4 linked regions of the Medicago truncatula genome follow. The protein of the gene in region 1 interacts with the protein of each later gene in a pairwise test. Links are inferred from orthologs where the notes say so. Each region holds a gene or a part of one and is shown on either strand. Other genes may lie near its edges.

Evidence for each region.
Region 2: the proteins of auxin response factor 5 (region 1) and auxin-responsive protein IAA20 interact in a two-hybrid assay, tested with the Arabidopsis thaliana proteins (2 studies listed by BioGRID). The link is inferred for Medicago truncatula from reciprocal best matches to the Arabidopsis thaliana genes MP and IAA20.
Region 3: the proteins of auxin response factor 5 (region 1) and auxin-responsive protein IAA9 interact in a two-hybrid assay, tested with the Arabidopsis thaliana proteins (2 studies listed by BioGRID, with this or other methods). The link is inferred for Medicago truncatula from reciprocal best matches to the Arabidopsis thaliana genes MP and IAA9.
Region 4: the proteins of auxin response factor 5 (region 1) and auxin-responsive protein IAA29 interact in a two-hybrid assay, tested with the Arabidopsis thaliana proteins (2 studies listed by BioGRID). The link is inferred for Medicago truncatula from reciprocal best matches to the Arabidopsis thaliana genes MP and IAA29.

What each region holds. Positions count from the first base shown.
Region 1 is NC_053042.1:7,849,154-7,856,261, forward strand, and holds the start of auxin response factor 5, read right to left. Parts: upstream 3,012-7,108; 5' UTR 2,854-3,011; intron 2,714-2,853; exon of another isoform or gene 2,469-2,713; 5' UTR 2,444-2,468; coding exon 2,341-2,443; intron 2,223-2,340; coding exon 2,110-2,222; intron 1,969-2,109; coding exon 1,870-1,968; intron 1,772-1,869; coding exon 1,715-1,771; intron 1,609-1,714; coding exon 1,456-1,608; intron 1,371-1,455; coding exon 1,286-1,370; intron 913-1,285; coding exon 822-912; intron 548-821; coding exon 383-547; intron 292-382; coding exon 169-291; intron 70-168; coding exon 1-69. UniProt on the Arabidopsis thaliana protein: Auxin response factors (ARFs) are transcriptional factors that bind specifically to the DNA sequence 5'-TGTCTC-3' found in the auxin-responsive promoter elements (AuxREs). Seems to act as transcriptional activator.
Region 2 is NC_053048.1:52,423,641-52,429,766, forward strand, and holds auxin-responsive protein IAA20, read right to left. Parts: upstream 1,534-6,126; 5' UTR 1,453-1,533; coding exon 1,283-1,452; intron 1,196-1,282; coding exon 1,041-1,195; intron 965-1,040; coding exon 865-964; intron 778-864; coding exon 717-777; 3' UTR 503-716; downstream 1-502.
Region 3 is NC_053049.1:30,676,920-30,684,562, forward strand, and holds the start of auxin-responsive protein IAA9, read right to left. Parts: upstream 3,020-7,643; 5' UTR 2,820-3,019; intron 1,395-2,819; 5' UTR 1,376-1,394; coding exon 962-1,375; intron 763-961; coding exon 599-762; intron 214-598; coding exon 1-213. UniProt on the Arabidopsis thaliana protein: Aux/IAA proteins are short-lived transcriptional factors that function as repressors of early auxin response genes at low auxin concentrations.
Region 4 is NC_053044.1:52,829,898-52,836,569, forward strand, and holds auxin-responsive protein IAA29, read left to right. Parts: upstream 1-4,687; 5' UTR 4,688-4,867; coding exon 4,868-5,115; intron 5,116-5,349; coding exon 5,350-5,588; intron 5,589-5,681; coding exon 5,682-5,772; intron 5,773-5,948; coding exon 5,949-6,012; 3' UTR 6,013-6,172; downstream 6,173-6,672. UniProt on the Arabidopsis thaliana protein: Aux/IAA proteins are short-lived transcriptional factors that function as repressors of early auxin response genes at low auxin concentrations.

The sequences.
Region 1 (7,108 bases):
TTTCGCCACTTAGAACCAGGCCACCTTAAAGGATCGACATCACTGATACCTACAATTGTACCCATATATCTGCAGAATAAGAAGAAATATATATATATCAACTATTCTTGTTAGTTCAGGAGTTTGCACATATCCCAGAAAACAGTTCAGAAGAATTCAGGAAATTACCTGCGCTTACCCGATTCCTCGGTCTCAAACATCATACCAAATCTCATGCCAGCTGACAGCTGAGTCCCATAGACAGATTTTCTGTATTTGGCTAGTGGAATAACAAAATCTGAAGGGCATGCCCTGCAAATAGTACACTCCAGACAATATTAGTACCAAGATTAGATCTAAAAATATTTAATGTCAGGTGAGGTATAAACATATTTAGGTATACCTTGGATTGTAGAAAATCGTGAACGGACTTCGATTAGCAGCAGCATGAGCTGCAGCAGCAAGCACACCAATGTGCATGCTATCAGCAGAAAGTACGGATGATGGCAGTGTTGTCTGTTGACGATTAGCACGCCTTACACCAACTCGCAGTTGCGACTTCTCATCCCTTGTAACAATGACACATCACACTTAGTATTAAATTATGTGAAGATGATTATTGGTCAGAATTTAAAATAATAAGTTGCTAATCCGACTTCCACAATTTTCCCAATATTGAAAACCATTACATTGCAATGTAACCATGGAGAAAAAACAAGTCTAATTAGAAAGATTATGCAGACTTTGTTCTGCACACTAGTTATTCTACCTATATTCAGATAATAACAGAGTTTCGTATCATGTTGAAGCTACTTGACAAAAATGAAGCAAACAAATTTTACCTGATAAAAAGAACAGAATCGCCTGCTCTAAGCCTTTTTGAGCCGACAAACAAACTCCAACCCGTTGTGAGAAGGTGTCTTTTCGGCTGACCTACATGAAAAATGTAGGAAAGAAATGTAAGGATCTAACCCAATCAGGCTCTTTTAAGACTAAATATTTTGAAGGTTAAGATCAGCCAAGAGGAAGTATAAAGTTGCAGTTAAAATAATACAATATGTAATCCACGGCCACAAACATTTATTCCTATATATTTTACCAAACCAATAGACATGGTAGAACTATGAAACACAGATATGAACACCACACATGAAACCGACACTGACAATAATTAGAAAACGTGAAAAAAATTGAATGTAACTACATGTGTCGGTGACCGATTCTGACACACATATCATACACCGGACACACCATTAATCTAAAGTGTATATGCTAGGTGCTACATAGATGCAGAAAACATCCTCACCTCGGTAAATATGTCGAAATGTCCATGTATTATCATGCAAATCTCGAACAACAAGTTCTTGAGTTGGGGGTTGAATTGTGTAATCCTAAAACCAAAACACACTAATCAAATGAGGGTTCTTGTACAGCCATAAAAGAAGGTTGCAACCACCTAGTGCAATATAGCCTTACCAATGGAGGAAATAGCTTTTCCGCAGCTCTGCGTGGAACCGAAAAGCCACCATGTGTGCTAGTATCACTGGCAGTCAAAGTTTTGCAGAAAAACTCAGTTGGATGTTTACTTTTGCTTAGTCCAAACTCAGATACTGGAAATACTTCTTTTTCCTAAAAAAATGGAAAATAATACATCAATAATAATCATAACCAATAACATTTAGATGTACAATAACAACAACAATAATTCTAGAACTAACTAATTCATATAGCTTACAGAATTCAGTGGTTGGAGAGTCATTTGAGCATAGATTTCATCTGTCTCCTTGTCAGCCTGTTATCAAAACATACAATTTAAAGGGGTTATGATAATTTGAAGTTTGAATGAGTGGTTAAGCAAAAAGTGGTAAATCAAGAGAGAACACTACTTACATGTAGTGTGACATTTTGTACTTGACACAACAACTGAGATGGAAGACTAGGGTAGTTTGGAATCTGTGAGGTTGCTATTCTTCTAGTAGAAGCTGCAACCTTAAAAAGACAAAACACAAAAAAAAAAAAAAAAAAGTTCAACACATGTTTCAACCATTCAATAGAAACCTAGAATCATGCTAATTCTAGCACTTACAAATGTTAAAGCATAAAAAAGAGATTCTTGAGTTTGAATGTTACCTGTTCACTATGTCCTTGAGGGAAGTAATAGACAAGACCCCCCACTTGAGGCAAAGACACAAGAGGACCAGCACAAGCATGCCATAATTCTGAATTTAATGTCTTTCTAACCCCTAAACAAAAATTAGTAAAACCAAATATCAATCAAAGCAAAATCTCAATTTCTACTAAGAAAACATATAACATAAACATTGTAAAAATTAAGAAAAAGAGAAGGAAACATGAACTTACCACAATGTTCTTGCATTTCTTTGAGCAACTTCATTTCAGCAACAAGAGTTTGACCACCAACAACACCTCCAACACTTTTAGCCTTTTCGTCTAAGGAAGCCATGTTCCACTTTCACCACTATCTTAGTCTTCAATTCACAACATGCAACATCACCACCAAACACAATAAAGAGGAATAAACTTGTATTGACTTGAGAGAGAAAAGTAGAAGAAACAAAAGGGTAGTACAAAACAAGAACAAGGGTCCATTTTGATCATCATCATTAATATTCTTAAATTCTTAACATGAGAATCTCATTTTGTTGTTTGTCTAAGAAAAACAAAACAATCCAAGTAATGTGAAAAAGAGTGAACTAAGGAACAAAAACTGCTAAAAAAGGTCAAAGTGCAAATCTTTTGACAAAAAGAAAAGTAGAAAAAATAAAAAACTTTCATTAGTTTGCATCAAAGCACGCGTATCAAAGCATAATGAGTGGTTTTTTATTTATCTTTAAATATAAAAAAGAAACCAACCTTTGAGTGAAACCACTCATCACATCACACTCTGAAACAGTGCCTTCTTTCTTTGTTTTTTCTTTACAATTCTCAAAGCACTTTTTTCTATTCTCTCTCTTTTTTCTCTTTGCTTCAAACAGCAAGAAGCAGTGTGCATGCTACTTCCAACAACAACTTCTAACCCTTGCAGCTTTATTATATTATAGTATTTATATTTATGAAAAAAATAATTAAGAGGTAAAGAAAATGGTACTAGTAGAATAGTACTGTACTATAGTATAGAATAATAATAGAGTATATTATTAATAAATTGAAATAGGGAAAGCAGAGCTATATACGCAAAAGTAATGTAATGTGTCTATAAAGAAGTCAGAAACAGTACAATACTTACACGCTATCAAGTACTTGCAACTGCAACAAACATTATTATTTTATTATTCTCTGAATAAACACAAGTACATTTATTTTTCTGAACAAAAATATAATAGCAAGGGTAATTAATATACCATTGGGACCCCTAGTTAGTATATGTATAACCTCTATTTAGTAAAAATTGTGAATAGATTATAAATTAGTTTATAATGGATGATCTTATAAAAGTATTAAACTTATTTTGGTTGGTTTGGTGGTGATTTTATAACATATAACCTATGAGGTAGGGACATTCTTGAATTAGGTGTGTCCTAACTCCTCATGTCGGATACGTGTCGATATTTGACACAGATATGATGTCTATAATTATACTAAATTATGTCATTTTTAAAATTATTATTTGTGTTAATGTGTCAGTGTTCGTGTCGTGTCTGATGTTCGTGTCAGTGTCCGTACTTCATCATACCATATATACCATATAACAAACACGTTAGCTGATTAAATTTGCAATTGAAGTAACATAAAAATATGAAATGTCATAGAAAGATACATTAATTAATATTTTTACTCCTTTGAGAATATGAAATGAAAAAATTAATATATACCGAAATTTTCAAAAAAATTATAAAAAAATCTGAATTAAATTAAAATTATAAAAAAATCGAAATTATATTATTATATAATTATTTTGATTTTCAGAATTAATTTCTAGAATTTTATAATAATATATTTTCGATTTTATTTTATAATTTTTTTGAAAATTTTGTTTTATATTAATTTTTCCATATTTTTTAAATTAAATTTTCTAGATTTTTTTAATTTTTCCAGAATTTATTTCATTTTTAAAAAAAAAATTAAGAATTTTTTTAAAATCATAAATGCCACGTGTACCCCATAAAAAAAATTATACAGTCAGCGCGCCACGTCATCCAAAAAAAGTGATGCAACATGCCACATCTACGAAAATACAGAGTCAGCTAGCCTATGGGGTTTTCCAAAAAGAAAATTTTACAGGGGGCAAAACCAAAAGTGATCTATATTACAGGGGTAAAGGCATATTAACCCTTTATTGAATGAATCTAGAAAGTTGAGTTTTGCTTATAATAGTGACCAGAGTGAGTACTTGGTATAATGGTGTATCACACAAAATTTGAAGGAAAAATATTGGTGTACATCCAAAACCATTTGACATCTTGTGAAAAAGATAAAAAGAAGTGATGTGATAGATATGATATATTGTTAACGAGATAGAAAAGGAAAGATAGACAAACAATAAGGCTCTGTTTGGTAAAAATAACGGATAGTTTATAAGCTAGCTGATAGCTTATAGCTGATGGCTGATAGCTGATAAGCTGATTAAAGTGTTTGGTAAAACTAGCTGATAAATGTAAAATGACATAAAAGGACATTTTTATTTCTAATAAAATTATTAAATTATGTTCTTAATATATATTTTATATATTATTAAATTATTATTTTTTCTCTTTCAAAAAAATATTAATTTTTTGTTATAGTTTTATTTTAAATTTACTCCATTTCCATTTTTATACTTCAAAAAAAATTCAAGTTTAAAAATTTCTTTCAAAAATAATTTTATTTTAAAACAAAAATTGTTACAAGAGAAAAAAAAATCGTAACAAAGCATTGAAAACATACATCTCAACGTCATACATGATGAACTATGCTTAAAAGTAGTAAGTTCGAGTAGATGAATATATGAAAAATATGCTCAAAAAATATGCTCCAGTAGTTTTTTTTTATTTGAAGAGTACTCGAGTAGTTGAGTTGTACTAATTAAATTGGAAGTATATAGAAACTGGAAACGTAGGAACAAAAAAACATAGAAAACGTAATAAATGTGTTTTAATATATAAAGGGTAAAAGTGGGTTTTAATTAAAATGATAAGGGTAAAAATGAAAGAAAAGATGATAAGCTATAAGCTATAAGCTCAAACGCTACTTGGAATAGCTTCTGAAAAATAGCTTATAAGCTCGTGAAATAAGCTATAAGCTCGTGGTGAAAAGACAGTACCAAACAGAGCTTTTTTTATCAAACGAGCTTATAAGCTATAAGCTATAAGCTCGTTTGATGGCTTTACCAAACAGACCCTAAGGTGTTTAATGATTTATGGAAAGTAATGATGCACAAATATCATTGTTCAAATTTTAATAACGCATTTGATTGAAGTAACTTTTATTGTGATTTTATTAAAATCACATCGATACCAAAGAACACCTCATCTATTTATTTATTTAAGACAATTGTCATTTTTGTTCTTGAATGATAACGAGTAATCATTCAAATTGTCGAATTTCTAAAATAATCTTTAATTGTGCGATTTGTCAAAATAATTTTTATCGTTAAAAAAATTGGATCTTCAATGCACATCTTACTTATGGGATCATGCTTATTTTGCTCCAATACAAAAAGAAAAATTACACAACTCTTAATTAACTCATGTTTTATACTCCCTCTGATCTCAAATACATGAAAAAATTCTTTCTAAAGTTCATTCAATAAATAATATATTTGAACTATAATATAAATCACATATATCTTTTATCTAATGAACTTAAAAAATGAATGTTTTCTTATATTCGAGACCAGATGAAGTATTTTTTTTTAAGTTATATTCAATGTTTTATTTAAAAAAAAAATAATAATAAAAAGCTAAACCGATCCACCAAAACTAAGAACAAGAAGAATCAAAACAAGACTTTACAAGAAACACATTCTAAAATCCAAACTAAACCAGGTAGTTTTACTATATTCAATGTTATTTTATAATATCGTATTTTATATAAATACTTCAACGATTTATATGTTATCGATTTTGCAGCATGATGGTTGAAAAATTAAAGTGCAGATTTATCAACTTAAACATCCATACATCCTAATTGGAGATGATCTTAGAGGCAGAGACGAAGACAATTTCACAAATGGAAAAGTTGGTATTTAACTATTAGATGAAATAAATAAAACAATTTTATCATACTCTCTTCACACTAGATTTTTGCACACACTTTTACTACCATTCCGAATTAAAAAAGGATCAGATTTTTTTTTCCTAACATTCTAAAAAGTTTTTTTCCAAAATAAAACTTTTTTTTAGTATAAAAACAAAAAATTAGATAATATTTTTTGAAAATAAAAAAACTATTTTCCAGAATTTTATTTAATTATAAAAATAAAAAACTTTAATTTAAAAAAAAAAAAGGATTTTTATTTTATTTTTCAGAATATCTCATTTTATTACTAAAATAAAAACTTATCTTAGTTTCCAGAATTTTATTTTTATTGAAAAATAAATAAATAAATTTTCAATTTTTCAAATTTTTTTCTAACATTCAATAAATAAATTACAGAATTTAAAAAAAAATATCTGAATTTTTTTCGATTTTTTTAATTTTTGGAAATTAATTTTTAAAATTGTTGGTATATAGTGTGAAGAAAAATCTAATGTTGAAAGAGCATGATAAGAATATGTTCTTCACTTGATCCAATCATTGAATCCAACTTTCCCATGGTAGGAAAGGATTGGCCTTTCCCATGTGAAATGCCACCCGATTTTTTTATATTTACAAATCAAGAAATTAAAATCAGGACAAAAACTGCATTTTAAGTATGTTTTGGACTAAACTCTAAACCCAACTTTCATGGTAAGATCCTATCCATTTGGCAAAATAAATAGAGTATGCAATTCGGAGATACAAAAAATATTCCCTTCATTCCTTTTTAAGTGTCACTTTTGGAGAAAATTTTTGTTCCTATTTAACTGTCACTTTCAAAGTTCAATGCAACATTAGATGTTGTTTTATCAATATTGTTCTTAGTTATTTATTGTGGAGAGAGAAATATATGAAATAAATGTTAAATGAATAAGGTCATTATAGTAAAAGT
Region 2 (6,126 bases), on another chromosome or scaffold:
AGATAATAGAAGTATGAATATGAGGAGTCAGAATCATCATCATTTATGATTCTCTCAATTTTTTCAATTTGGATAAACAAAGACATAGATAAAATTAGAAGAGAAAAAAAATTTAAAATAATTAATAATTTGGGACTCACTTAGTTGTAAGATCCACTATTTATTTTGTGTTTATCTCTGTTTAAACAATAGAGAAGATTCTTACTCAAATATGAGACATCTTGCAATGTTAATGGCCGATTTGAAATATCCATTATTCTCATAATTTTGAAAGCTCATCACAAAGTCAATGGACTATTTTGGTAGTTTACTGGTGAACTTATAACAATTTTTATTTTTTATTTTATAGATTGTTCGTTACATTGGAATTTCAAAGAATCAGTTGGTCTGAAAATATATTTTACATAAATGATTTTTTGAGAAAATATTTAAATAAACTTAATCTTAGAACACAGTAATTCAAACGAAAGTGAAGTCACTGGTGGGCTTGATGAATAGAGCATGTACAATACTATTCTTTTCCATTTGCTTCTTAGAAATTAAAAAACAAAGTGAGAGCTATGCATTTACATCTATGTTTTTCCGCATACTCCACTAATTAACTAGAGTAAGATTTTTCTACATTACATGATCACATAACAATCACACTCTATTGAGTCTCACTCTAGCTACAGAACAAAATTTGAAATCAAGCACATTTGTTGTCATATACATTTTTAACACCCAAATGTGTCTACCCTTGTGATCTTCAATCTCTTAACAGTCGATAAAAACATCCTACACATTAAAAAAAAAAAAAAAAAAACACAAACACATTAATACACATACATAATGTCTTGTTGTGTTCTTCAAAAACTAACTTACTCCCAAGGAACATCTCCAACCATGACCAAATCCCCTTCTTCATCTTCATAAGTTAACACATGACATCTTTCTGGTTGCACTCCATCCATCTCATTCCCCCCTGTTCCAAATAGTACTCAATAAGTAAACAAAAACATCATAAAATTTACAAGACATTAATAAGAATAGGATCTTACATAGAATGGTAGTGTCAAACATGTGCTCAAGAGTCTTAACTAACTCATGGTAACTTTGATGAGCAAGTATATTCAGTTTTCTACCAATTGGAATTCCTTCCATGTACACCTTCACATACAAGCTATTGTAGTCATAGTTTTGTTGCCATTGCCCCCTAATATAAAAGAATGACAAAAGAAATCAACATAAAATAATTAATGATATATGAATGGTGAATATATATATATATATAGAAATTAACCTTGAAATTGATGAGCCAACATGAAAATGTTGAGTGGGAGAAATGGTGAGTCCAAGACTAAGATCTGTGGGAAGTTGATGTGTAAGAGAGGATGCAGTAGAAATATAAAGATTATGGTTGCTGTTACTGCTAATAGATGAAGAAGAATTTGAACTATTTGTTTTTCCCATTGTGATTGTGAGCTAGATGACATAACAAGCCGCCACCTTAAGGCCTTATATATAAACAAATTTAATTGAGAGATCTATGCTATGCTTATGAAAAAAAAACTCAATTAGACTTCCTCAGCTGTTGTGCCAATTTAACATTTCTTTTTCTTTTTGTTTCTCCTATGTAATTTGGTGGACCATCAAATGTTGTGAATGTAGCCGACAATTACACGTGTCAGTTTAAGAATCCAACTCAGCATCTTTTTATGTTTCAACAAATATTTTCAAGTGTGATGTAGCAATTTCTCCTATTTCAATTTTCAAATACAAGGAAGAAAAGTCAAAGTAATAGATATATTTTGTTCAAAGTTTTAATGAGATACTTGATTTTGTTTTAATATATATATATATATATATATATATATATATATATATATTTGAAACCGTAGTAATATTATTCGTTATGATCTTATCTAAACATAGACGGTTTTTATCAAATATAAAGTTAATTAAACCAATTACTTACAATAGTCAGTTGTTCTTGATAGCTATAATGATTTTATTAATGTATTCTTTGATGTAATCAACATTTTCATTAATCCGACTCTAATATGATGTTAAATCGTGAATTTAAATTTCAATCTTAAAAATTAGTTCACACAAGGGGCTCAAGCACATATGTACATCTTGCAGTTCGAAAGTTTTGATAATATGAGATAATAGCTTAGTTAGCCTCGATAGGTAGAAAAGATTGAGTATTTAATAAACTTCTAAATTTAATATGTGCAACTATTTTATGATAATTTTTGGACAACTCTCTATTATAATTAGTCTTCTTTATCTTTATCTTTATTTTTCATTGTTTTGATAGAAGATTGCCAAAAAAAAGAAAAAAATTGACATATAAATATCATTAATTACTCTTGTTTTACCAACTTAACTTCAATTAAGCAATGTGAATCTTCTTTGGTATACAAAACAATATACTTTGACGCGTGTTATTCCATTAAAAATTGTTCATTATTTGAAACGTCTTTTTATGCACGTCCATGAGAGAGAACCAGTGTATTGTAAGTGCTTATGATGCATGTAAAATAATATGAACACTTTAATATATTTAGAGGAAATATGAAGGAGATGTTGGAGTTACAATAGAGACATGTAATGGACAACGCGTGTGGTGGTTTTTGTTTGAAGGGAATGAACCTAGACTGTGTAGAGAATTGATGGGCAATATTGAGGTGGACAAGAGAACATTGATAACTGAAACCTTGTACACATAGACATAACATAGGTCATATCCAATGGATCAATGTTCAATATTGGATATAATCATCGTGTAGCGCATGAGGGATCTTGATTGCTGAGACCAAATTCTATAAACAAATAAGGTATTGAAACTTGTGATGCTTCCTTCCTTGAAACGCTCCATGAATAGCAAAGAAACTATCAACAGCATGAGAGTATACATATGAAGATAAGTTGCAAGCATTTTTTTAACAAGAAGAATGCTAACTAATGCTCTTGAGATGTTGGTTAAAGTACTAAAATAAGTAACTTTATAACAAAAAGTTATGTAATTATTGTTGAGATAAAAGTAAAAACTTGCATTTCTAAAACATAATTTCTATAAATGAATTCTTTAACCATTGCTCTTAAGATACTTGTTAACGAAACTCTTTTAACAAAGGAATTGTATCTTCCATGCACAACTACAAAAATTAAAACTATTATTGATATTCATTAAATTAAGGGATTTAAATCTTCAAACAAATATTTTACCATGTGCACACCAAAAACTTAAGACCAAATTGTTAGAACATCTACTTGTGACGCACATGTTAACATATGTCTTAAGACATATGTTAAGAATGTGAAATATAGAAATTGTGTATCGAGTTCCCGTGAGCTTAGCTCAGTTGGTAAGAACATTGTATAATTTATGCAGGGGTTTGGGTTCGAACCCCAGACATCCCATTTTTCCACAATTAATTGTGTGACCACTAGGCTATTAAACCAAAAAAAAATATTGTGTATCAAAAATAGTGTAAATTTATTTTTCTAAATACGGAGTATTTTCTATTTGGAAAAATCTTAACATGTGTCTTAGTTAGGGTGTACTTAACTACTTATTACAATTAATTACACATTGAACCTAATTTACTACTATAAGACAAGTGTCCTCCCTTTTGCTTTTCAATAATTTAACTAGACACACTACCAAGCTTGACATCATTTTCCTTGTTTTTTAACCATCGTTGACGTGAATGAATGACATAGTAGTAATTTTTAGGGTTAGAATTATTTACGGCAAATTTGCGAGTTTAATAGAAAGAAGAAGTTAATCTGGTTAATAGCACTACATATTTTTGTAAACTGAGAATTAACGTATTGAATGATGTAAAATGAGTGTACGTTCAAAAGTATTTATAGGTTCGATGTGAAATGATAATATCTCACAAATTTGTTTGAACGCCTATGAGACAAATCATTAGATACAAGTAATGAATTTTATGCAAATTCCTTGTTTTATTTTTTTGATGTAAAAATCCTTGTTTGAACCAAAAAGAAAAATTCGAATGAATTGTGTAAAATATAATAATTCGAACCAAATATATGACATTTTTATTTATATTTAAGATGGGCGGAATATCATTTCATTGTGTGCTTATATATTCATAAAAAATGTGTATGCTTTTTTTAGAGGAAAAAAAGTGTGTATATATGTTGTGCTTAATTTTTGTTGGGTACAATTAATGGCTATTATTATTATTATTATTATTATTATTATTATTATTATTAGTACTACTACTACTACAAACTCCTTATAAATTACTAACATATTTTGTTTATGCATAAGTTTTTTTTAGGAGACTTTTGTTTTAAATAAGTGTCTTTTTTTGAGAGCGTTTAAAATAAGTGTCTGTTAACAAAAGGATTGTGCCACATAAAGCACGGGCATTATATATGTATATACTTGGCCTTTTCTGATAAAGATACTAGAACCCTAAAAAGGAAAAACTCATGCTTGGCCTTTTTTTGCTTGATGGTTCTTTTAGGTGATAGACTCAGACATTGAGAAGTAAGTAAACGTTTCTGTTTTGTGTAATATATCACAGAAGTAAGTAAACGTCACTATAATTTCTTTTAATATTATTGAAACCTTTTATATATTTTCTTAGTCAAAGTCTTCATCAATATCATTCACCGAATATAATGAGAATTATAAAGCAGATAGGTTAACTCCTAACCAAAAAATAAAGATTAGTATTCTTAAATTAGGTTAGCAGTTTTTGTTTAGAGATTAAGAAAATAAAAGACATAATGATAGTATTGGAGAAAAAGAGATTTGATATGAAGGGGAGGGAGCACTAAGCAACAAAAAGACATAATAATCAGAATTGTCGAACAATGTCTAATGACACTTTTTTAATGGTAGTGTGATGCCGAGCTCCTGTCTTGGGGACACAAAATAAATTCAATTTAATTTGTTAACACATCATATTCTAAGTTTCTTCTCCATTCAACACATAGCTCCCACGTGTAATATTTCACGCTTACTAAGCAATTTTATTTCCATGAGCACGTCTTAATTTTTATTTTTATTATTTTTCCTATGGTTCAGAAGTTGAAGAGGGAACAAGAGCTTTAAAAAACAAAATCAAAGAGCAAAACTTGGTACAATTTGCTTGAATGTAAAGAAACGACATGCTACCTAAAGAAGGAGGTATGAGACTACTAAATACTATTCAACCGGGAGAAAAGACAAAAAAAAATGAAAATGTTCCCCACCATACCATTACCAACCATAAGGTTGCTTGAATTAGCCATCAAATTGTCATTTGGTCCCCAGCAAAGTACATGAATATTAAGCAATGTGTAAACCAATTAACGTTTCTGTTTTGTTTAATTGCCGGAGAAAATGTGTCTTGCAACGATAAGGCCAATTTAGTCACCGTTCCTGTTCTTGTACCCCTGGTTTTTCAATGCAAAGTATGTGACCAATATATATAGCTCGATTATTACTGTTTGAGGGTAATTAATAGACGATAAATGTTAACGGATGTCCCAGAGCATTCTTTAAAATGAAAAGTAAAGATAAATGAAAAGTAACATAATCAATCATGTTCGAATTCATATATTAGAGTTTAGAATTTGGAACGTAAAGATGTGCAACTACGCAAGCACACTAGCATATAACATGCATATGCACTTGCATGCAGATACATAAGTTTCAAACAAGCAAAGTCATGAGATGATGGCTGCACTGCAATCACCTCACTACCTCCCACTATACTTTGGTTAAAAAAAACACACCAAGCACACCCTTCGGTTAAATAAAATAAAAAAACTCCAAAGCACACACTTTGGTTAAAAACTCCAAGAATAAGTTTAAAAAATTCTCAAATAATTAACGAAAATCCAAGCACACACGTTGGTTATATAAAAAAAAAAATAAAAAAAAATCAACACCCTTTTGTTATCAGCACTTTCGTCAAACCAGATTTTAAGAATGCAAAGCAGACAACCCAGTTTTATGATAGAAATACTTTCTATTAACACAAGTAAATGACGTTTTTACCCCAGCGGTAGTTAACAACCGTTGGAGAAACCGGCGGCAGTTAACTGCCGCTGGCATCAGCGGTAATTAACTGCCGTTGCAATGTTTATGATATGAACGTAGAAACCTCCATT
Region 3 (7,643 bases), on another chromosome or scaffold:
CTGAACATCTTCTCAAGGTCAGACGACAGTTCCTGGTATGTTGTATAGTTTCTTAGATCTACCTTCCTAAGATAAGGAGCGCCATCCATGCTAACCTTCACAAATAGTGCAGCTGCACCAGGCTTTCCATCCACTTCGTCATTGTTCTTTGAAGTGGTGGCCAGTGAGTTTTTCCTAAATGATCTAATAGGAGGCCAACCAACAACTTGTGCTCTGTCGTACATAGAAAGTAATTAGCATTATTACAAAGACATCAAAAAATCCCTTCTAAGGTATTGAGTAAACCATTGCTTTAGTCATTGAAGAATCACTCTCTTCTATTTAGTCCCTAAACTAAATCAAAATAATAAATAGTCCTTAAACCATCTGACATCTGTCAAGTTAGTCCCTAAACTATATGAAATTCGTCTCTTTAATCCCTAGTAGCTCTTGTCAATATATAATAGCAAGAATTACCGATTATTTCTATATATTTTACAGACTAAGTAGAAGAGAGAATGATACTTAAAGGAATAAACTGAAGGTTTATTCTTAATATATTTGTCCAACTAGATTGTCCAGAAAATAGTGGATCCTTGATGTAGCATGTTCTACTTACTTAGCAGCCGGTGCACTGCCACTGATGGGAGCTCCAGTTCCATTCGCTGTACAAGGGCTCTCTTGTACCACCTTCTTTGGCATTTCTTTAATTGTAGTAGGCTGAGCTCCAGAAGGTCTCGGCGAAAGCAGTATGTTTACGCGAGTATTAGCAGTATATTTTGCCTGCATCACATATTGTTAAGAATCAGACTCAAAAGCAGTATGAACATCCATTTGACCTTTTGTTATTCAAAATTGATGTGCAAAAGCATCCCTATAGTTTCAACAATCCCATCTAGGTTAACATCCCAGACACTAAAATCATTTGCAACACACCAAAAATATATTAACTCTAGTAAAAGGAAAAAGTTTAATTTTTCACCTCAGGAAACACTTCCAGTGTGTCGGCGAAACCTCTTTTGTTGCCTGAAACAACGGTCTTTTGGGACAACGAGCAGATTCCATCTTTAGTGGGAAGCAAAGGGAAAAGTGGTTTCTCGTCAAGTTTTGTTGAGTTCAACGGAAAAAGATCAAGATCCCTTTCAGGCGACTGAGATCCAGGAAGTCCGAGCCTTAACTCCGTCGCTTTCAAATTTAGGTTCTCTTTTTTCTCATCAGACAAGCTTGGGACAGTAGAACTGTCAACCGATGAGCAATCAGACAATCCGAGGTAATTGCGTTCCTTCAACCCAGCTGCAGTTTGAGAAAAACGGTCCAAGGATTGTGGAGATGCAGATGCTACCGTTGAGGGGTTGCTCTGCCCTTCCTCTTCAGGAAGCAGCAGTGGCGGAGACATCAGATTCCAAATATGCAAACTGTCATAAAAGAAAGTTATAAAAGCACAATTCACGCAATACATTGGCAGAAAGATTAAACAGACCGAATTTTTACACTTCATATAGGACGAACATGGTAACCATTTCATCTAACTATGAATGAAATAATAAAAGTAGGCTAGCACAGACTATGTAGCACTAACACTTCAAATTAAAAGTGTTTTTGGCGTCTGACAACGACACACCTCGTTACCTTCAGTTATTCCATTTTGTCAAATTAGTAAAATGATGTCGCATGTTAGTGTTAGTGTTGTGTCCGGTGTTTGACCCAATTCTTCATAGTGCAAAGACTAAATCAAGATTAATAAGAGGGCATCCAATTGCATGTGAACACTCTTAGACAATGTTTAGAAAAAGGGTTGCAATTACAATCTCGGCTGTGACATCAAGATATTTAATATCTGTGCAACTGCGATTGATGCTACATCAGCCGCATTTAGCCGTGATTTTCCACAATATCAAGGATTGCAAAGACAACCACGTTTTAAATCTCTGCTTTTGGATATAGTATATATTATTATGTATGTATCAACCTCTGTAGCATCGACACTTTTGATCGAAGGCGTCAATGTCCCTGTCGGACATGTAATTACATTCAATCGTATCATTTTTTCAAATTACTATCAGTGTCGACGTGTTAGTGTCCGGTGTGCATCAGTGCTCCATTGGTTTTTCATCTAACTAATAACTTTAGAAGTGAGAGCAGACATTTTTGATTTATTAATTAATGGTCAAGTTTGGTTTTTATAGGAACCTATCATTTATCATCTATGAATGATTTTATCTCCAAGATTAGTTCTTCTCACCCTCTCACACGGATCAAAATAACATTTTTACCCCCTAACTTTCACACTGATCAAAATATATAAATAAGTCTTTTTTCAACAAAAATATTATAATAAAGCTCATGAAATAATATTCGAACGCTTAGAAATGGAAAATACCCTTCATTTTTTAAAATCGTAATTAACATGAAAAAATGCGTTGTACCAAAAAATAAAAAAAGTAAAATGTGAAAAAATGAAAATACCATGAAAAATTTGGGATTTTTATTTTGCAATAAGGAAACCCCAACATAATCTAAGTAAAATTTAATAGCCCCATATTAAGCAATAAATTAAACAAAAAATCAACTTGCAAGAGGAAAAAAAGTAAATTTATAAAAATAGATCCACACCCACCTTTTTTCCAAATTATTTCCTTCAAATAAAAAGAAAAACAAAAAAAAACAAAACTTTTGCTAAGGAATGTGAATGAAAAAACTAAGAAACAATAACATAAAAGACACAAACATAAACAAACCCGAAAGCAAAATAGCTAAAAACAACAACACAAGAACAATTATTGTCGAAAAAAAAAATAAGAATAAAATAAAATAAAAAATGAAGCATAGAAGTAACATACCTGTGAAAATGGAAGGTTGGTGTAGAAGGCAGAAGAGAGAATGAAGAAGAAGAAGAAGAAGAGAGAGAGAGAGATTATTCCTTGTTGTTTGAAGAATTGGCAGAGTGAAGAAGAGTGAAACCTAAAGAGCAGAAGAGAGAGAGTGAAGTCTATTCTACTCAAGGGCCTTCCATTCCATTAAGCACAAAGCAACAAAAAGTGTGCTTTGGAGTGTGTATAATATACATACTCATAAAATAATTTTACCTTTTTCATCATAATACTAATATTATATTCATTTTAAGGGGACAGGGGCAAAACAGACCAAACATCTTCTGTTACCGTAACAACTTCCACACTTTCATTTCTTTACTTTTAATTCCAAATTCTTTTTAGTCTCCTTAAATACGTCCTTAGAAGTAGCTCATTATCCTTGCTATTGAAATCAAGCAACTTGATATCAATTTCACTTTAAGTTTAAAAAGAAAAATTAGCTTAACTAACTTAAAAATAACCCTATTATTTCGGTACCAGAAAATTGACTTTGTATTTTTTCCTTAAATTCCTAAAAGAAAAGAATTACGATATGAATATTTATATGTCTGTTTTTTCTTCTTCCTTTATCATCTAAAAAGTGTAACAAACTAAATGAGTATATTTATACTTACTTTTTTCATTATACCAATTATACTTTAAAACAATATTTTCTATAATAAAGATTGTTGTTGATGTCATTAAAAAAAGAATTTGGATTTTTTTTTTTGTTATATTGTTGGTGTCATAAAAATAGATAATCATGGTTAATTTGGTTTGTTATAACTTGAAAGCAACAAACATCTATATTTTTAGTTTTAATCAAAATCAAAATTTCATAAAAAAAAACACTGTTTATAATTTTGAAACGTTATCGCAATAAAAAGAGCGGAAAGACAGATACATTGAATGTCCGTCTTTTCGCTAGTTATTTATAAAGAAAATGAATATTCTTTTATGTGATTCCAAGTATCCTAATTGATAAAGGTACTAACACAGGTCATTGCATTGTATACTCCCTCCGGTTGCTATTATAAACAAAATTTAATTTTTCAGATACATTGAATAATTAATGTATCATGTCCATAACAAAGACTAGATACATTAATTATTCAAGACTAGATATATTTAAGTGAAGGGTGTTTGGGTTGAGTTACTAATTTAATACTCTAAGTTAAGTGAACATGTAGTTTGACTTAATTCAGGTTGCAGTATAAAAATCGTAAACTGAACTGAATCGCATTGTTGAATGAAAAATTGACCTAAATACCACTAAACTAAACAGAAGTTTTGCACTTTTTTTTATTGCGGTTTTCTATTGAAATGGTTTGATTTTCGACATCCCATGAATTCCGAAATTAAACAATGATAAAAGAAAATTTGGTATGTTTTGTCAAAATAAAAAAAAATTGCTATGTCTTCCTTTTTTTTGGTATGTTGTCTATAAAAAAAAAATGGTTATCCCCGTGATTATCTTTTTCCTCCAAGAAAAATAATTACTAATTAGAACTCCATCCATTCACTCTTATCTTTTAAGTGTGATTTTGTAATTTTTTACACGTACCAAAGATATTTAATAAGTATGGTTAATTTTGATATTATCATTTATATTTTACCTATATTATCATTAATCATTTATATTTTATTCCATCTAATTTTCTCTTTGTAATAAATTGTAAGGGTATTTCCCTAACAAGTGGCGATCAGTTTGAACTCTTCAGATCAATCAATCCTTGAATCAGATACCAAGTTTAAGAAAAATAGTAAGGGTATTATTGATAAGTTAATTATTAATATTGTATTGAACTTTAAAAATGACAGTTAAAAAAAAACAAAATTTTCTTTCAAATATGACACTTAAAAAAGAAACGAAAGGAGTAAAATATTTTATATAGATCAACGAGGATTAAGACTAGAAGAAGGGGTTAGACCGTCACATCAAAACAAATTATGACTTAGAGATAAGGTCGCAATTAATAAAATTATGGCTAAATTGAATTTTTGGTCCCATAACTATTTTGCTAGTATCGCTTTGGTCCCTTAATTAAAATTTGATGTATTTTGGTATCTTAATTTTCTATCGTTACACATTTTGATCCTTTATGTTAGTTTTAATTCAAAAACGTTAGGTTTTCTTATGTAATTTTTCTTGGATTTTTGTTGTTGAAAGGTTGATGGAGATGATATGAAGATGAAGAAGAGGAGAAGAAGATGACCCTAACGTTTTTGAATTAAAACTAACGTAAATGACCAAAATTTGTAACGATAGAAAGTTAAGATACCAAAATAAATCAAATTTTAATTAAGGGGTCAAAGCGATACTAGCAAAATAATTAAGGGATCAAAAATGCAATTTAGCCTAAAATTATCTACAATATGGAACATGAGAAAAAAATGTCATATCTATTATTTTATGCAACATTGATCAAAGAGAATTAGTTCATGGAGGGGTAAAAAAACAGTGCAAAAAGTTGAGAAAAATCAACTCTTAAGTTATTAGAAATCTCACATCTAGTATATAAAAGTGTTCGATGTGATATTTAAGTCATGCGACTCTTTGATTTAATGTTCGATTTTTGGTTTGTGTTCTCCTCGCACGCCTAGGTCATAACAATCGATGACTTCATTGAGAGGTAGACCAATGAAAGAGCAACAACACAAACAAAATTTTCTTTCAAATATGGCACTAAAAAAAGAATCGGAATGAGTAAAATATTTTATATAGATCAACGAGGATTAAGAGTAGAAGAAGGGGTTAGACCGTCATATCAAAACAAATTATGAGTTAGAGACAAGCTCACATTTAATAAAAGGGTCTTGTTAACGAGTGCCCCCGAGACACTCTTTAAGCATCCCAAATTTAACAATAATTCTTTTAAAAAGTCAACTATTACAATTTCCAATGCATTCAATACACAACTTTTCATTAAAAACTTTCCATTTAAAGGTGCTTAAAGAGTGTAAGGGGATACTCGTTAACATTTCCCTTAATAAAATTATCTACAACATGGAACATGAGGAAAAAATTGTCATTTCTATCATTTTATGCAGAATTCATCAAAGAGAATTAGTTCATGGAGAGGTAAAAAAAAAACAGTGCAAAAAGTTGAGAAAAATCAACTTAAAGTTATTAGAAATCTCACATCTAGTACATATAAATGTTCGATGTGATATTTAAGTCATGTGACTCTTTCATTTAATGTTCGATTTTTGGTTTGTGTTCTCCTCGCACGCCTAGGTCATAACAATTGATTTCATTGAGAGGTAGACCAATGACAAAGCAACAACACAAACACAATTTTCTTTCAAATATGGCACTTAAAAATGAAACGGAATGAGTAAAATATTTTATATAGATCAACGAGGATTAAGACTACAGAAGAAGGGGTTAGACCGTCACATCAAAACAAATTACGACTTAGAGACAAGCTCCCATTTAATAAAATTATCTACAATATATAGAACATGAGGAAAAAATTGTCATTTCTATCATTTTATGCAACATTCATCAAAGAGAATTAGTTCATGGAGGGGTAAAAAGAACACTGCAAAAACGTTGAGAAAAATCATCTCCGAAATTATTAGAAATCTCACATCTAGTACATAAAAATGTTCGATGTGATATTTAAGTCATGCGACTCTTTTGTTTAATGTTCGCTTTTTGGTTTGTGTTCTCCTCGCACACCTAGATAAGGTCATAACAATTGATGATTTCATTGAGGTATACCAATGACAGAGCAACATCTAAACTTTGATTAAAGTGTTCAACCAAATATTGATATCTATGTGAAGTCTCCATAAATAAAAGAGTTATCATCCAATCAATGTCGGTTGACGGAAAGCCATCATAAACACCGACTCTTAATGTTAAAAGTCCGACATCGATTACATGAAAATATTTAATGTGATACTTTAATTAGCTCAAGTTCTTCCACATAAGGAACTATTCTTTTGGTTCCAGACTCTCCCCATTTTCTTCTCTAAAAAAAAAAAAGACTCTCCCCATTTTCTTAACAAAATCACATGTGGAACTATAACATCGATCATTTTCAAAATGACCATTATTATTTTCGGACGTCCTTTTTCATGCTCAAAATATCATAATGAGTGATACCACAGTCGATGTTTGTAGGATGTTGACATTTGACATGCATATGGGAAAAGGGTATATATTATAACAAAAATGTACTATTAACTATAGAGTGAAATTCAAGCTCTGCCAATATATCATGTCCAACCAACAAGATGCAAATAGTGTCACTCCAACTCACACGCAATTAAGAAGAAAACTATGATCTCAAATATTGATTCTTGTTTGTTGGAGGGTGGTGGGGGTGACCCTCCCTGGCCGTATATGGAAAGAGATATTATGCAATATTGCAATGCATGCAGAGAGAGAGAAGAAGAGAGAGAGTAACCATTCCAAGACATATTTGCTGACATGAAATGATTATACTTTGCAAACCAAAATCTTGGCCCTGCCAGCTACTACTACATAACAATAATATTGTCAACTATATAGACAAATTCTAACTCCCTGTCAAAATATACGTCGACCTAACTAAATTATGGACCGTGTCTCCTATTCATGGTAAATGCAGTAACATTTTTTGAAAGAAATTTTAGTGAATATAATATTTTTACGTACTACGTTAAGAATATTAAATAGATTTACATGCTACTCCTAATAATAACAAATTATTATGCTTGCTTGAATTTTTCAAAACAATGGGAATATTCTTGTAACCGAAATATACTTGACAAATATAGACAAAAATCATTCAAGGGATTGATTTTATTGAATGTGAAAAC
Region 4 (6,672 bases), on another chromosome or scaffold:
TGAAAGGGTAGTAAGTTTATTAATGTAATTTACTTAATTTACTAACGAATACCATTAAATATGTATTTGTATCCATTAAATAATGGATGGTTGAAATACCTGTTTATTTTATTATGTGACAGATTTTATTCACGGATATCCGCATGTGAGATTATTATGTCATCCCTACAAAAGGTCTAGACTCCCACAAATACGTAGCCAACTAAAGTTCAAATCTAACAATGAAATATACTCACATTTAGTGTTGGATAATGTCAAGATTTCTTCCGATGAAGGAAATCCATGAAAAATTAAAAGTTCGATTAAAAATCTTAAAAGCATATATGATAAAACACAAATAAATTAAAAAATGACAAATGCATTTTCACCAAGGATGAATTTGGTAAAACATAATTTATGTTTGAAATTTTTTTCTTCTAGTAAAAAGTGTGCTTAACACTCGAGCGTTGAGTTACGAGTAAAGAATAAAAAGTTGAGTCTTATATTCGAGGGTTTTGGGTTCAAGTTATGCCGTCTCTTTAAAGGAATTTAGATGCAGTTCTTTTTGTAAGCACTATTTGAGTTTTAAGATCTTTCTGCCTTGTACAACAACACAATCCCTTCACACTAAGTTATATTGGAGCAGGAAAGGTTTGTTGCCAAAGGTTAGACATCAACATTACTAGAAATAAGATTTTTGGCAAGACTTTTTCTCGGCGACAATAAACTTGTTGGCAAAAACATTCATATAGCAACAACTAATTAAAATTGTTGTATTAAGTTTTTTTTAACAATATTGTTATCGTTGGGAAAAATGGTTTGTCCCAACAATAACTATTGTTGTTGAAAATAATACAACTTTTTATATGCATATAACATCGACTAATCAAAGTTGTTGTAATAGGTTATTGTTATTTATAAACAATATCACTATCGTTGGAGAAAGTGACTTGTTCCAACAACAATTTTTGTCGCTGAAATGGTGATTGGTGCATATCCGGAGATTGTGAAGTGGTAGCTGAGCTTGGATCCACCGTGCTTAGCGAAGATTTTCAGGTCAAGTTATTCAGTTTGGGACTACATAGCTAGCTTGAGCTCGATTTAAGGATCCCTGATGCAGGAGAACAACAATGATCAGTACGTGTCATCAAAGCAAAGCAAAGCTTTCCCAAGGAACACAAACCATAATTAATGCTCTGTATGATGCATATTGCTTCTTTTGAAGTGGTTCAATTCATCCATCAAACTCAGGAACAAAACCTTGCCATGCTTTGCTTTGATTTCTCTAATTAGTAATTGAGATTCGAAAGTGACATCTTATCTATATGGGGTTTCATCTTGCCTGGCCAAACTTAGACACTTAACCAATTTAGTTGTAGGGGTGTGTGTGGGTGAAGTAATGGATGATAGGTAAATGGCCAACAATGAATTAGACCCATAATACTTTAGGGGTCCTACTAGTTGAGTTTGTACCCTTCACCGCATGGGAACTATATAGAACAACTGGATTCCAACTTTCAATCCTTTGTTCGTGCGGAGTTTAGTGAATAGCATAATTTGCCATGCACCATCACGTGGGTTTCACAAGTTTACGTACACTTTGTCAAGCACTATATTGTGCTCTATTGGTAACCCTACACTTGTATTTTGGACCACATACATACCTAATATAGTAATATACGATATATTGCAAAGTTGATGCTTTGTGTAGCGCATTTCACCTTTTCGGTTTTGCTTAACTCGAGTAAATAAGAATTCTCCTTAAATTATGATTGTCATTGCAGACAAATGATCATTAATGATCTTGAAGCAAATGTTTTATGTGCATAGTGCATAAGTAGATTAAACACGCAATTAGTTTGCGTGAGTTCTTTTTTTTTTTTTTGAAGGAATAATTTGCTTGAGTTCTAAAATCATGATATGTTTGACGGGCATTATAGTCGACATATTGGACATATTAACAAACAAGTATCAATATGTTCATGAGCTACTGATTCCTTTCATTTTTTTTTATATATCAAATATAAAAAAAAAAAAAATTGGAAGTTAGGTCTTTTTTTTTTTTTATTTCATTTTTTTTTATTATAGGTCTTTCATATTGGAAGTTAGGTCTTTCATAATAATAAAGAACAGAATGTTAGTGCTCCCGCAACACTCATGAATACTCGTACAATCGTAATGTCCATAGTAACTTCCTTGTTTTGAGAAGTTTTTTCCCCAAAAAATAAATTGAAACGAAATATTAAGGACTTCTTTGGCTTAAGAAAATTATTTATGTTCTTATTTTCTATTCTTTTGGTTGTAAAAATGTCTCTAATTTTTTTTTAATATTTTTTTTTGTTTTAAAATATCTGTATATAATGAAGTAAAAACAATTTCTTTTACTAATTCTTATACATTTCTTTAATTTGAAATAGAAACAAAGTGTAAATTTTACAATTTGAAGTAAAAATAGCACATGAAACTAAAACGTTTTTCTCAAACTAAACAGACTCTTGTCAATTTGTGTGGATTTTTTTTTTTTTTTTTTTTTGCATAGCTAAATAGGAGTTTGTTTTAATTTCTACAGGTTTATGGTCACCACAAGCAGAGTATTTATGATTTGCTGCTAAGAGTTTCTTATTATTTCTTCAGGATTGATCAGAATCACAAGTAACTGAGGGCAATAAACAATTTTGTCACTAATGTTTTGGTTGGAAAGGGGTAACATTATATTAAGAAAACATAATGTTCAATCATGTCCAGCACAAAATACACAAGCTGTTCATTTTATAATCAATACCATTAATATCTCTGCATCTGCTTATCTGTCTGTGTCTTGTTTTATCTTTTCATAAAAAAACATACTGTTTTAAGGCTTAATTGGACATTTGGTCCTCTAAATAATTATGCGTTTATATTTTGGTCCCATAAATTGTAAAACTCACATTTTAGTTCTCTTGGTTTTGCTCCGTCGAATCAAAAAGGTCCTAACTGTTAACTTTAACCCCCAAATGTCTATGGTGGACCGACTTTAAAAATGGTCCACCATAGATCCTATTAATTATTCTAATTTAAACTGTTTGATATTTTTTTAAAAGGAGGGTCATTGGATTACGCAGATGTATTTTATCTTACGGTGAGTCAACAACACTTAATTATTTCTCCCTTTCTTCATCTTCTTCCTCACTTTTCTTCATCATATTCATATCATTTTCACCAACATTCATGAACAAAAATCCAAAAGAAAAAAAAAACCATAATTTTTTCCTCTCTTTACAAAATCTACTCCACTCTTCTTTCATTTCCTTTTCTTTCTTCCTCTCTCTACAAAACAAAGCCATACTCTCCCTCTCCTCCTTTCCAACCGAATTTTCCGGCCACCCACCGTGGTGTTTCCGGCCATCTTTTGTCAAACAAAATACATAATCTACATACTCTCTTCTTTCTCTATCTCATTCTGAAATTTAATTTTGGATCGGAGACATATTTTAGTCTCCAAACCGTCACTTTCATTATTAGATCTAGACCACCACAAATTGTTTCATGACAAACCACTACCATAAACATACTCTCCTTCATATTCTCTACAAAACCCACAAAGAAAAACCACGAACCGGTGAATTTTCTCGGCGACCACCGCACCGGAAAACGACCCCACCACCGCGCCGGACAATGAACAATAACATATTTGGATTGGTTTTGTTTACCGCGCCGGACAACGACCCCACCACCGCGCTGCACCGGAATTTTCTTTATTGTGTTGTGTTTTGTTTTGCTGGATTGGTTTTGTGAAATAGATTTGGATTTGATTTGAAGAAAGCTCAGATTGATGGAGAAATGAGAACTGATTGTTGTTGTGGTTTATTTTCAGAATCTGAAAAAAAAAAAAAAGATTTGTGTGTTTCCAAATTTTTTATTAATTTTTTGGGTTTAAATTCTTCTTTTTTATGGGTTGTTGTGAATTGTGATGAATGTATGAATATTTGATGATGAACAAGAGTGAGGGAGAAGAAGAGAGAAGATGATAGTGCTGGAAAAATTAGGTGCCGATAGCTCACTATAGGTATAATGGACATGCAATCAAACGGCTAATATCATATCAAAAATTTTAAACATTAAAAAACTAACGGAGGGGATCAATTTGACTGACGGAGCAAAACCAAGGGTACCAAAATATGAGTTTTACAATTTATAGGACCAAAATGTAAACTCATAATTATTTAGGGGACCAAATATCCAATTAAGCCTTGTTTTAAATATTAGATTTTCCTTACAATTAATGAACCAAATCCCAAAAGTCTTTTCAGAGTAATGATCTTCACCAAATTTTGGTGAATATGAATATGACACTTCCTTATAGCATGAGACTACTACTAAATATGAATTTGGATTTGCAATTCGTGCAATCACATCGTCATAGACGTTGGTGATCATTGGATCAAAATCGAACGGTCGAGGTTTTAATGCATATTTAAATGTACTTTTTAAAACTGAAATTCCACTCTTGCAATCCAAACCGTCCGAATTGGATCAAGTGACCACCAACGTCCTGATTGTGTGAATGCGCGAATTGCTGACTATAGAAAATTGAAATTCGAATATGTATATGAGGGGACACATTGAGTGGACAATTGAGACCAACAAAAGAGAGTAAAGTGGTCATAGCACATTGGTGCTCTCATTTCTCAACATGCTTATAATGCTGCTACTCTTTTTGCCGACCCAACTTCCTTGTTGTCTGTAACAATCCTTGTTCCACAAGACAATAGTCCTTTTCATTCCCCTCCTTCACTCACACACAAACACACATATATACTCACAACCCCATAAGTCAAGTAATCTCAATTACTCTTAGAAAGCTAGCAAGTACCTATCTCTAACCTATTAGCCTAGCTTCTTATGCTTCATGGAACTTCAGTCAGGTCTGGCTCTACCCATTCATAGTTCCATTGAAGGATTCGATCCCTACAACTCTGATTTAAATAATCACATTCGCGGTTCAGAAAATATAAAGTATGTCAAAAACAAACGTAGCTTTGATGAGTCTTTTGGAGATTTTTCGAAACCTTTGCCTCTATTAGTATGGAGTGGACAACCAAATGAAGAAGATGGCCGCAGTGAAAAGAAGAACAGAAGCATTCACACATCAAACAAGTAAGTTCATGCATGGATCAACCATGAGTTTGACAAAGTTACAACGTGTCACCGTAATTTAGACAAAAGTTACACTTTCTAGCTTCAACAAAATCACAGTGCTACTTGACTTTGTAAAATTTATCGTGATTACAAATTAACATGCACTAAACTAGCTGCTAATATGATTAATTTTTTTTATTATAAATATCATGACACCTTTATTATAATTTTTTGATGTACATGTATAAATAGTGAAGGAGAAAACCATTTGGTTGGGTGGCCACCAATTAAATCATGGAGGAAGAAAGAATTTCATGATCAGCAGCTTCCTGAACATATAAGGAAAGCTAATGAAAATCAAAATAGAAGATCAAAACCTTTGTATGTTAAGGTTAACATGGAAGGGGTTGGCATGGGAAGACAAATCAATTTGAGGCTTTACAACTCTTATCAAACTCTCAAAGACTCGTTGATTAGCATGTTTGTTAAATGTTAGTGTCTAGCGATATATTCATACTTCATAGTGCCATTCCTTTTTAGCTTTTGGTATATTTAGTGGATTTGTTTTTTATTATTTTGAACAGGCCAAAATTTTGAGGAAACTGGAGCAAACTATACACTCACATTTCAGAATAAACAAGGGGAGTGGAAGCTTACAAGCCATATAACATGGCAGTATGTGTCTGTTTTATATAAATATTAATGTTACATACTTTCATGGACAAGTTTATATCACATGAACTCAACAGTTATTTGGATCAGGAGCGAGAATTTAGAAATTTGGAATACGAAATATCATCATTGTAGAAAGGTAAGGTGTCTAAAGATCAAATTTATAACTTTTTTTGCAGATCCTTTATTGGTACTGTGCGGCGTTTGGCTATATTGAGGAATGGAGAATGTGAAACTATCTGACGAAGACTATACTACATAGTTTGTACTTTAATGCTGTTGTACTTTGTTAGTAAAGAGTACTATCTCCTTCAATGTGTTACAGAGAGCATAAGCAAAATATGTGAAGTCAAATTAGTGAATTACAATTTACAAATAATTTGTAATAATTTTGATTTTTTTACTAATAATAATATTGTAATTGTTCAAGTGTGTGCAAATAATTTGTAACAATCTCATAAGTTGATAAAAATGTCAAAATTATTAGACCAGACGTCATGACCAGATTCAAACCCTGACACCTTCACTTATGTGTGTGTTTATGATGACTTTACCATTCCGTCTATCTAAAAAAAACTAAAATTTCAACATTTGCCAAATAGTCTTATCCTTTTATATAAAATGGCTTAATAACACAAAAGAATACTACATCCGTCCCTAATTATAGGGCCCTTTTGAAAAATAACGGGAATTAAGATAGTGAAGATTTGTACTACCTCCGTCCCTAATTATAAGACTCTTTTGAAAAAAAAATTGTCCCTTTTTATAAGACCCCTTTGTTATTTCCAACTACAATAATTATTTCTTTACATACATGCCCCTATTTATTATACATCTTTTTCTTCAATCAGCAATAAATAACATGTTGAAAACATAAATCAACTCTCTTTCTTAAAGGATAAA